Macaca mulatta: one gene and its partners. The protein of the gene in region 2 interacts with the protein of the main gene of each other region in a pairwise test. Links are inferred from orthologs where the notes say so. Each region holds a gene or a part of one and is shown on either strand. Other genes may lie near its edges. The genes, in order: SPTBN1, TNIK and AGTPBP1.

Region 1 (3,655 bases), on a different chromosome or scaffold from region 2:
GAGCCCAGGAGGCAGAGGTTGCAGTGAGCTAAGATCACGCCACTGTACTTCAGCCTGGGTGACAGAACAAGACCCTGTCTCAAAATAATAACAATAGTAATAATGTGTTTTATATCATCTTTGGTCATGGAGTAGAGGGGATGAAGTCAGGTTATTAGCATTCATTTTTCCATTGCCTCAGTTGAAACTGTTTCAGCATTTAGCATTTATTGCTTCATTCCCATGAAACCCATGTAATGTATGCAAGCTAGGCCATTGTTGATTTTATTGAGCAGTAACTTCATGTGGAAATACTGTGTGTGTTGAATGAGTGGGTAAATCACAGATCAAATGTCCTAGGTTTGTTTTTCACAGTGACATTTTTTCTGTAGCAAACTGTTTATTTACAACCATGCTGGTTTTGTTTTCCAGGAAGGAATGCAGCTCATTTCAGAAAAGCCTGAGACGGAACCTGTGGTGAAGGAGAAACTCACTGGTTTACATGAAATGTGGGAAGTCCTTGAATCTACTACCCAGACCAAGGCCCAGCGGCTCTTTGATGCAAACAAGGCCGAACTTTTCACCCAGAGCTGCGCAGATCTAGACAAATGGCTGCACGGCCTGGAGAGTCAGATTCAGTCTGATGACTACGGCAAAGACCTGACCAGCGTCAATATCCTGCTGAAAAAGCAACAGGCAAGTGGACAAGCCTTCATGGACTTGGGTTTGTTTCTGTTTTACAGCCGTAGTCCTTACAGTCTTTTCTCACTCACTGCATTCTCAGGAGTCCACCTTCCATGGGAAAGCATTTGTAACCCAGAAAAGTACTTGCTCTAACAGCATCATACAACATTTCCAGAATAGAAAGCTACCTGTCCAGCCTAGAAAGACACAGTATTAGGAGTATTGGGTGTCGGCTGTCTGTGTATGGGATTGATAATTTTCTTAGTTAATAGGTGTTATCGCTATTTAACAGTTAAATAAATACTCATCTCACTCAATTCTGCATTTTACATTAAAGAAATATTCACATACTTTGTTGTTTAACATCTTGATTTGTGACAGTTATCTGAGTTGTTCAAGGCACTTTATAGATAATAAAAGTAACTGTTTATATTACATCACTGTAGAGGGCTTTAAGGGCAAATGAATTTACCTCAAATTTACTTGAAAACAGTTCCATTGATGTTGAAAAAGCTAATCAGTGGCAAAATCTTCCAGTGGCTCCCATTGCTGGCTTTGCAGTGTGGCCAAGTCCCTGGCCCAGCAGTTCTGCTTAGAGCCAGTCACTGCAAAAGTAGTCTCTGCTGAGCGCTGAGGCTGCTTCTTTGCCTTCAGATGCTGGAGAATCAGATGGAAGTGCGGAAGAAGGAGATCGAAGAGCTCCAAAGCCAAGCCCAGGCCCTGAGTCAGGAAGGGAAGAGCACCGACGAGGTGGACAGCAAGCGCCTCACCGTGCAGACCAAGTTCATGGAGTTGCTGGAGCCCTTGAACGAGAGGAAGCATAACCTGCTGGCCTCCAAAGAGATCCATCAGTTCAACAGGGATGTGGAGGACGAGATCGTGAGTCAACCCCGGCTGCACACATGGCTTTTCCACAAGCCCCCTTGCCTGTCCTAAAGCCCATGTTCTCACTTCTCAGTCAACCTCACCTTGGGCCACGTTGGCAAGTTGAGCTGTCAGAGTCCACGCTCTGGATGGTCTAAAGTTTCTTTCCCTTTTCACACTAAGTGCAACTCCATTGTGCCTCTCATGTTATCTAGGGATACTCTAGGATTTTAACGGCCCTAAAACAGACTTTTTAAAAGTAATGAGGACTCACAGTGAGTCTGATCTTGAGGATGAGGTAAAGTTGGAAATACTCTCCCTACCCCTGTCTCGGAGAACAACGGCATGCTTCCCCAGACAGCCCTCCCGAGGGGGCTGAGCACTCTCTGAAGCTCACCCTTGCTGTCCCTCACTGCCCCTCACCGCTCTTGTTTCTGTTGTGTATTTGTTCCTCTGAGTGGATCTGACCACTTATTTACAATTTTTCCCAGTTGTGGGTTGGAGAGAGGATGCCTTTGGCAACTTCCACGGATCATGGCCACAACCTCCAGACTGTGCAGCTGTTAATAAAGAAAAATCAGGTAAGCCTTTCTGCTCGGGCCATCTCTGTCTGATAAATAATTGCTCTAAATTATGAGACTGAGAATGGCAGAGAGTTTTGAAGCCTTGCGATTTCTTTTTGGCCCTAACAGCTTGACATAAGCACCAGACGGTTGCCATTTAGCAAGCCTTTGTGTGTGTTGTCTACTCCCTCCAGACCCTCCAGAAAGAAATCCAGGGACACCAGCCTCGCATTGATGACATCTTTGAGAGGAGCCAAAACATCGTCACCGACAGCAGCAGCCTCAACGCTGAGGCCATCAGACAGAGGCTTGCCGACCTGAAGCAGCTGTGGGGTCTCCTCATTGAGGAGACGGAGAAACGCCACAGGCGGCTGGAGGAGGCACACCGGGCCCAGCAGTACTACTTTGACGCTGCCGAGGCCGAAGCCTGGATGAGCGAGCAGGAGCTGTACATGATGTCAGAGGAGAAGGCCAAGGTGAGAGGAGGCGGGAAGCATCCCTGCCCCAGGTGAACCTTGGATTTAAACCCTGAGCTTGCTTTCTGCTGGCGGCTCTGTCTTCATAAAAACTTCCCTTGTAGCCTTTGAGTGTTAAGGGGACACCATGTGCATGAAGGTGTCTGAAGTCCAGCTGCTGGTTTCCCTTTGCTGCAGCATTTTCTTATCTGAACCCTAGTGTGCCATTAAGACCAGGTTCATCCCTTCATCTTTGAAATATGCCAGAGTCCTTCCTGCTATCTATTTATAGGTTCCCTAAACTTTACAAAATACAGGATGGCTTGGAGACAATTTGAAAGTATTGCAAGGTTCCCGGAATGCTGTCATTTACATAACTGATGGACCTTGAGGAATTCCAGTGAACCAGGCACACTTGGTCTGCCCAAGCTTTTCTCTGAGAGGGGCCCTGCTCATTCTGTGTCCTCCTTGTGTTTATCTTCTGCACAGGCTTCTGTGGTCCAGTCCATATGAAAGCTCTTGGAACACTTCTGTGTTCCACTGTCCATACCGTACCTCTGGAGTTTCTCTTTCTACTGATCCTTCCTCCTACCCTGCTGAGCAGCTGGTCTGTCGCTCCTTAAGGTGGTGTAGGGCCGGAGGGTACAGCTGTGGTTGTGACGTTTTACTGTCTTTGCAGGATGAGCAGAGTGCTGTCTCCATGTTGAAGAAGCACCAGATCTTAGAACAAGCTGTGGAGGACTATGCAGAGACTGTGCATCAGCTCTCCAAGACCAGCCGGGCCCTGGTGGCCGACAGCCATCCTGAAAGGTGAGTGCTGCTTCATGAGGTTGAGACCCAGCTGTCGATTCCTCTCAGTGAGGGTCTCTTGCTAACCCCCACCAAAAGAAAATGGCAGCATTCATCATGAATTGCTGGTAAGGCAAATCTTTGAGAAGCATTTTTAAAACAGTCCCATCATTTAAAACATCCTATCATGATTAGGATGGGTGAACTGTTACACTAGGAAATTGCTCTTGTGGGTTAAATATCTCCTTCTAGCCAAGGGTCTCCTGAAAGAGTATTGGTGTCATGAGTCAAAAGTACAGGTTGACTAGGCTAGGCAGTCAA
Region 2 (3,655 bases):
GAAATTTTAAAAATACAAAATGAGAATAAAAAAGAAAAGTAAATTGTATATCCAAGAGCCATTTAAAATATTTCTTGATTTATCTGAGCCTATATGTGCTTAGATAAGTTTTTATTTTCAAGATGATTTTAAATTTCTTTAAAAATATGAACCTATTTATTTCTTCTTTCACCCTGAAAATAAGCAAAATCTGAAGGGATTTTTTTTCTTTTCTTTTTAAAATGTATTTTAGGTCCAGGGGGTACATATGCAGGTTTGTTTCATGGGTAGTTTGCATAATGGTGAGGCTCAGGCTTCCAGTGAACTCATCATCCAAATTGCGAACATTATACCCAACAGGTAAATTTTCAGCCCTTAACCTGCCACTCCCCTTTTAAGAGTCCTCAGTGTCTATTATTTCCAGCTTTGTTTCCACGTGCACCCCATTTTTAGCTCCCACTTATAAGTGAGAACATGTGTTATTTGACTTTCTGTTTCTGGGTTATTTTACTCTAGGAGATTGGCCTAGCTCCATCCATGTTGCTGCCAAGGGCACAATTTCATTTTTTTTATGGCTGCGTAGTATTCCATGCTGTATATATAACACAGTTTCTTTATCTAATCAAACATTAACGGACAACTTAGATTGATACCATGACCTTGCTGTTGTGAACAGTGCTGCAATAAACATACAAATGCAGGTGCCCTTTTGATTAAAAAAAAAAAAAGAAAAGAAAAAGTTATTTTCCTTTAGGATTTACCCAGAAGTGGAGCTGCTAGGTAGAATGGTAGTTCTATTTTTAGTTCTTTGAGAAATTTCCATACTGTTTCCCAAAGAGATTGAACTAACTTACATTCCTACCAACAGTGTATAAGCATTCCCTTCTCTCTGCAGCCTCACCACCATCTGTTACTTTTTCTGACCTTTTAGTAATAGCCATTCTGACTGGTGTGAGTTGGTATCTCATTGTGGTTTTGATTTGCATTTCTCTGATGTTTAGTGATATTGAGCATTTGTTCATCTGTTGGTTGACTGCCTCTTTTGAGAAATGTGTGTTCATGTCCTTTGCCCCCTTTTTAATAGGATTGATTTTTTCTTGTTGAATTGTTTGCATTCCTTGTAGAATCTGTTGGATGTATAGTTTGCAAATATTTTCTCCCATCATGTAGGCTGTCTGCTTACTCTGTTGATTGTTTATTTTGCCACGCAGGAGCTCATTAGCTTAATTAAGTCCCATTTGTCTGTTTTTGTTTTTGTTGCATTTGCTTTTGAGGTGTTAGTCATAAACATGTTGCCTAGGCCAATATCCAGAAGAGTTTTTCCTAGATTTTCTTATTATAGTTTTGGGTACATTTAAGTCTTTAATCCATTGTGCATTCATTTTTGTATATGGTAAGGGATAAAGTTCTAGTTTCATTCTTCTGCATATGGCTAGCCAACTTTCCCAGGGTGTCCTTTCCTCATTGTTTATGTTTGTTGACTTTGTCGAACATCAGTTTGTTGTAGGTATGTGGCTTTATTTCTGGGTTCTCTATTCTGTTCCATTGATCTATATGTCTATTTTTGTATCAGTGCCATGCTTCTTTGGTTATTACAGTCTTACAGTATAGTTTGATGTCAGGTAATGTGATGCCTCCAACTTTGTTCTTTTAGCTTAGGATTGCTTTGGCAATTTGGGCTCCTTTTTGGTTCCATATGAATTTTAGAATTGTCTTTTCTAATTCTGTAAAAAATGACATTGGCAATTTGTAGACTGCTTTTGGCAGTATAGTCACTTTAACAGTATTGATTCTTGTTATCCATGAGCATGGGATGTTTTTCCATTCATTTGTGTCATCTATGGTTCCCTCATCAGTGCTTTGTAGTTCTCCTTGTAGGGGTCTTTCACCTCCTTGGTTAAATGTATTATCCTAGGGGTGTGTGTGAGGTGTGTGTGTGTGTGTGTGTGTGTGTGTGTGTTATTATAAATGGGATTGAACTCTTGATTTGATTCTCGGCTTGAGCATTATTGATGTAACTGATTTTTGTGCATTAATTTTGTATCCTGAAACTTTACTGAACTTATCGGCTCCAGGAGTCTTTTGGAGGAATATTTAGGGTTTTCTAGGCATAAGATCCTGTCATCAGCAGAGATAATTTCACTTCCTCTTTTCCAGTTTGGATGCTTTTTGTTTTTTTCTCTTGCCTGACAGTTCTGGCTGGGACTTCCAATACTATAGGAGTGGTAAGAGTGGAAATTCTTGTCTTGTTCCAGTTCTTAGGGGGAATGCTCTTAGCTTTTTCCCATTCAGTATGATGTTGGCTGTGGGTTTGTCATACATAGCTCTTATTATTTTGAAATATGTTCCTTCAATGCCAACTGCTATGGATCTTTTCCTAGGGTTCAGGTGAAGAGATGAGCAAAAATAGTCTAATAAACACTTTATGTCATGAAAAGTTATAAAGCAAATAACTGGAAACTTAATGTCATTTAAGTATATTAAAATTTTTCCTACCTAGTTTCTTTAGGACTCAGAATATTCTGTCTGTTGAGATATTTTACAAAGAAATTGATTGCCATGTGTACCAATTGTGGATTACGAATTCTCTAAGAATTAGAATCCACACTTAATAGCAAAGATTCAGAAGGCGCTTAAAGGATTGTTCAATCTCTCAAGGTCATCACTGTAAATATTGCTTATTATATCAGAGACACACACACACAGGTAAGAGTAATGAAGAGAATGCCAGACAACAGTCCGTTCTTCCATTCATCCATTCAGTAAGCATTTACTGAGTACTACTTTGTGGAGGCAAAAGCATGTGGAGACTCAATCATTGAACTAAGTTTCTGTCCATAGAATTTACAATGCTTAATATTCCATCTGTCTAAAGAGTAAAAGGATTTGTCAGTATTCGGAGCCCTTTAAGTCATTAACAGAACCCAAGGCTCCTAACACCCCCTTTCATTAGAAGCATAAACAAGCAATTATTTCACTTAGTAACTGGAATTCAAATATAAATAATAAGCAAATGGCAGCCTTTATGTCTGCCCATTTTCTGATTTTTCTACCATCTTGCCATATCTGCTGTCAGCTACTTATGTGTGGGTGAATGTAAATGCCAGGCAAGCTAACATGAAGGAAATTATGCATTCTTATTACAATGAATATCAACATCTAGACCTAGTGTTAAAGACAGTCCTAAGCAGTTATATCTCTGGATGATGAAGAGAGTCTTCAATATAAAGCAAAGGCCATAAGTGTTCTGCCAACCAAAGTTCGCTAAGGGAAGCTAAATCAGTATCTATGACAAAAAAATCCCACACCAGGAACATCACCTTCATGAAGCTGACACCCAACATCAATATTTAAATTTACATATTGTTGCTTATACATTCATTATTAATACAAAGAACTTGAATAACCTGATGTACTTCTTAACTCATAATTTTTCTATTACAGTTAAATATGAAAGGATCAAATTTTTGGTGATTGCCTTAAAGAATGCTGTGGAAATATATGCTTGGGCTCCTAAACCATATCATAAATTCATGGCATTTAAGGTAAGCAGGCATGTGATTATCTAAAAATGTGCTTTTTAAAAATTTTCAGTTTCTACCCATTAATAAAATAGTCCATATAGACCAATACCAATTTTCATATAGATAATAAGTGTAGGTACTCTTGGTTTTAT
Region 3 (3,344 bases), on a different chromosome or scaffold from region 2:
GTTCTGGGTGCCCCCAGCCCCTGTGCTGGCACAGTGCATAACTTTTTAGTATGTGTCTCTTCCTCACATTTCCATTATCATTTCTTCTTGTTATGACTGTCTCCAGGAAGAAAATAAGTATGTGGCAAGAGAAGGTTTGTCTTTTCTCCCTTCCCTCTTTTCCCCTTCTTTGCTTCAGTTAGTTTTCCATTTATTCTAAGAATCACCTGGGACTCCTCTGAGAATTTGAAATACAAACTCAAGGAGGAAGAATGAATTATTGTATTTCAAAAGAAACATGGTAAGTCATTTTAAAAGGCCAAATAAGGTCAGGCGCGGTGGCTCACACCTGTAATCCCAGCACTTTGGGAGGCCAAGGCAGGCAGATCACTTGAGGTCAGGAGTTCGAGACCAGCCTGACCAACATGGTGAAACCTCATCTCTACTAAAAATACAAAAATTAGCCAGGTGTGGTGGCGGGAGCCTTTAGTCCCAGCTACTCAGGAGACTGAGGCGGGAGAATTGCTTGAACCCAGAGGCAGATGTTGCAGTGTGTCGAGATCACACCACTGCACTCCAGCCTGGGCAACAGAGAAAGACTCCATCTCAAAAAAAACAAAACAAAAACAAAAAACACAAATAATCATTTCTTTTAACCTAACTTGTTTCTCTAAAGACCTAACAGATTCATACTAAATATTTTAGTTGCAAATTAAAAACTAAAATTGTTCTTGTGAGGGTTAGGTATGTTGTTGAGTCTCACACAATCCTCCAAGCCACTTAGCCTGATTTATTTGGACTACTCTATCATATTGCAAGCTCTGAACTTTTAAGAGGAAGTTTGCTACATTAAATCAAGGTGGTTTTGCAATGTATTTTTCTCTTTAATGAGCAAGATTAAAGCCAGTATAGGAAAAAAGGTACTCTTGCCAGATAAAGTCTTGCAAACTTCTCCGAAAATTAGAACCATGTAATCTATTAACTTTCCCATCCCACCTTAACTTCCAGATATCTGGACTGAATTTCATACTCAGTTGCATGAATTCTCTCATTTTAGGTGCCTAATGACATCTGCTTCTCTCTTATTTTAACAGATTATTGTTCCCTTTTCATTGTCTGATTTTATAGGTTTTAAATGCATCAGTTATAGGAAATCCTTTTTGGAAACAGGTGGGAAATAAATAAACATACATCTATATGAAATTAAGGTAGTTTTGGGCACTACTTTAGAGATTTTGAAATGTTTCTGTAGTGTTTCTTTGATACTGTGTGTGGGGGGGTGTATCTCACAAATAGGGAGATATCAGAATGATGTGATAATTTTCTAGGAAAGAATACGTTACAGAACCTAGTAGAAAAGTTGTCTCAGTCCCAAACGACTTACTTCATGAAATATTTAGAAGCACTTAGTGCTTTTAAGCAAATGTCTTATTCTGTGTCCTTAGGGAAAGTATTAATCTGGGTATAGAGTGTTCACTTGTTTTTCATTTTTATTCTTGACCTACAGAAACTCGGGGGGTGGGTACATGGGCTGTTTTTATGGCAGCTAATCACTTTATAGACTTAGAGTGAGTGGTTTTAGTGCATTGCTCGAGAAGCCAATTAAATGCTCACAGTTTCTTGTAAGGACTGTTGCAATTATTTTTGCCTGATTTACAGTGACTAAAGTAGAATTTAAAAATAAATCTTAGCTTGCAAATTGGTGAAGTCTTTCAAAGAAATAACCTGATGAGAGAGTTCACTGTTTTTTTAAGCTATCTAATGTTAGGATATATGTCGATACTCTTGTAATATAATTAATAATTCACATTTCACTGCTTATTGTCAATACAAGGAACTTTCACCTATTATAAATCTCAACTTGTTCATTTGGATAAGATTTTTAAAGTTAATGCAGCTTATATCATGTTGGAATCAAAGAGTTAGTCCAGTATGGTGAAATAATCTTACATTAGGACCTTAAGACCTAACAAAGTCTTGTATGGTCTGTGTGTTTTGGCTGCAGCCCTACCACTTACGTTTTGGATGAAGATGAACCTCGATTCCTTGAAGAAGTTGATTACAGTGCAGAAAGTAATGATGAGTTAGATATTGAGTTGGCTGAAAATGTAGGAGATTATGAACCTTCTGCTCAAGAAGAAGTGCTTTCTGACTCTGAATTATCAAGAACATACCTACCTTGAGCCCGCTACCATCTCCTGTTAACCGCAAAGAAGAAATGGAATATCTTGGTTTTTATTTCACAGGAAACTTGAGAGAAATGAGTTTATACAGAGCTGACTCAAAAAGACAAAAAGTAACTTGGGCCAGTTTGGTTTCAAGACAATAAATATGTTATTAATTAATGATAAAATTGGCACTTGTTTTATTTTAGATATTCAGTGCACTTTATGTAGCATTGAATGATCAAATATTGGATTTACCTTTAAAAAACCTGAGTATCATTGCATGAATTTTTATCTCCCTATGGTTATATCCTGCATCAAATGGATAATTTTGAAGTGTGTTCAGAATATAAAATTGAAATTTTAGAGTTGTTGAAAATCCTGAGTTGTTGAAAACTAATATATATGTACATGGATTTCTATAGATGTGTTTGTTTAGAAGTGGGTAGATATTGAAGATAAGACTGTTCTTCAGAATCATGTTAACTATTGGGTTGTGACTGAAGTAATCCAGGGTTTGCCTTGAAACCATTACATTCTACATTTACCAAATTAAACAAATAAAACTGTATTAAATGTTGCATTCATTTTGTCATCTTCTTTAACCAGCTCAGATTATTTGATGTATAGAACTTTGTGAGAATGTGATAAAAACCCAGAATTGGACACAGTGATAAAAAGTTGCTTTTAAGAAAGTTAGCTGGGCATGGTGGCTCATGCCTGTAATCCCAGCACTTTGGAAGGCTGAGGTGAGTGGGTCACTTGAGGTCAGGAGTTTGAGCCTGGTCAACATGGTGAAACCCTGTCTACTAAAAATACAAAAATTAGCCAGGAGTGGTGGCACGTGCCTGTAATCCCAGCTACTCAGGAGGCTGAGGCAGGAGAATCACTTGAACCCAGGAGATAGCGCCACTGCACTCCAGCCTGGGCGACAGAGTGAGACTGTCTCATTAAAAGGAAAAAAAAAAGCTGAATATGCTAGTCTTAAATTTTGTTATGATAGAGGTATACCCACACCTATCATAAGAGATATATCTGAAAGCCCATTTCTCTAATACTTTGCCTCATGGATATACCTAAAGTGTATCACTGCAGTTGAATAGTTTGTTAAGAAGCTTGCAAAATGCAGTGAGGAGATGATCTGATGTTAAATGTGCATTTGTCTGTTGAGCTTATTCAGCATCTCGTGAGCTGTGCTGT

What was found.
Region 1: the proteins of TNIK (region 2) and SPTBN1 interact in a two-hybrid assay, tested with the Homo sapiens proteins (2 studies listed by BioGRID and IntAct). The link is inferred for Macaca mulatta from reciprocal best matches to the Homo sapiens genes TNIK and SPTBN1.
Region 3: the proteins of TNIK (region 2) and AGTPBP1 interact in a two-hybrid assay, tested with the Homo sapiens proteins (2 studies listed by BioGRID and IntAct). The link is inferred for Macaca mulatta from reciprocal best matches to the Homo sapiens genes TNIK and AGTPBP1.

Annotation. Positions count from the first base shown.
Region 1 is NC_133418.1:70,000,161-70,003,815, reverse strand, and holds part of SPTBN1 (spectrin beta chain, non-erythrocytic 1), read left to right. Parts: intron 1-411; coding exon 412-675; intron 676-1,317; coding exon 1,318-1,542; intron 1,543-2,018; coding exon 2,019-2,108; intron 2,109-2,284; coding exon 2,285-2,566; intron 2,567-3,224; coding exon 3,225-3,355; intron 3,356-3,655. UniProt on the Homo sapiens protein: Fodrin, which seems to be involved in secretion, interacts with calmodulin in a calcium-dependent manner and is thus candidate for the calcium-dependent movement of the cytoskeleton at the membrane.
Region 2 is NC_133407.1:82,747,727-82,751,381, reverse strand, and holds part of TNIK (TRAF2 and NCK-interacting protein kinase), read left to right. Parts: intron 1-3,423; coding exon 3,424-3,524; intron 3,525-3,655. UniProt on the Homo sapiens protein: Serine/threonine kinase that acts as an essential activator of the Wnt signaling pathway. Recruited to promoters of Wnt target genes and required to activate their expression. May act by phosphorylating TCF4/TCF7L2.
Region 3 is NC_133420.1:116,466,400-116,469,743, reverse strand, and holds the end of AGTPBP1 (cytosolic carboxypeptidase 1), read left to right. Parts: intron 1-1,984; coding exon 1,985-2,162; 3' UTR 2,163-2,727; downstream 2,728-3,344. UniProt on the Homo sapiens protein: Metallocarboxypeptidase that mediates protein deglutamylation of tubulin and non-tubulin target proteins.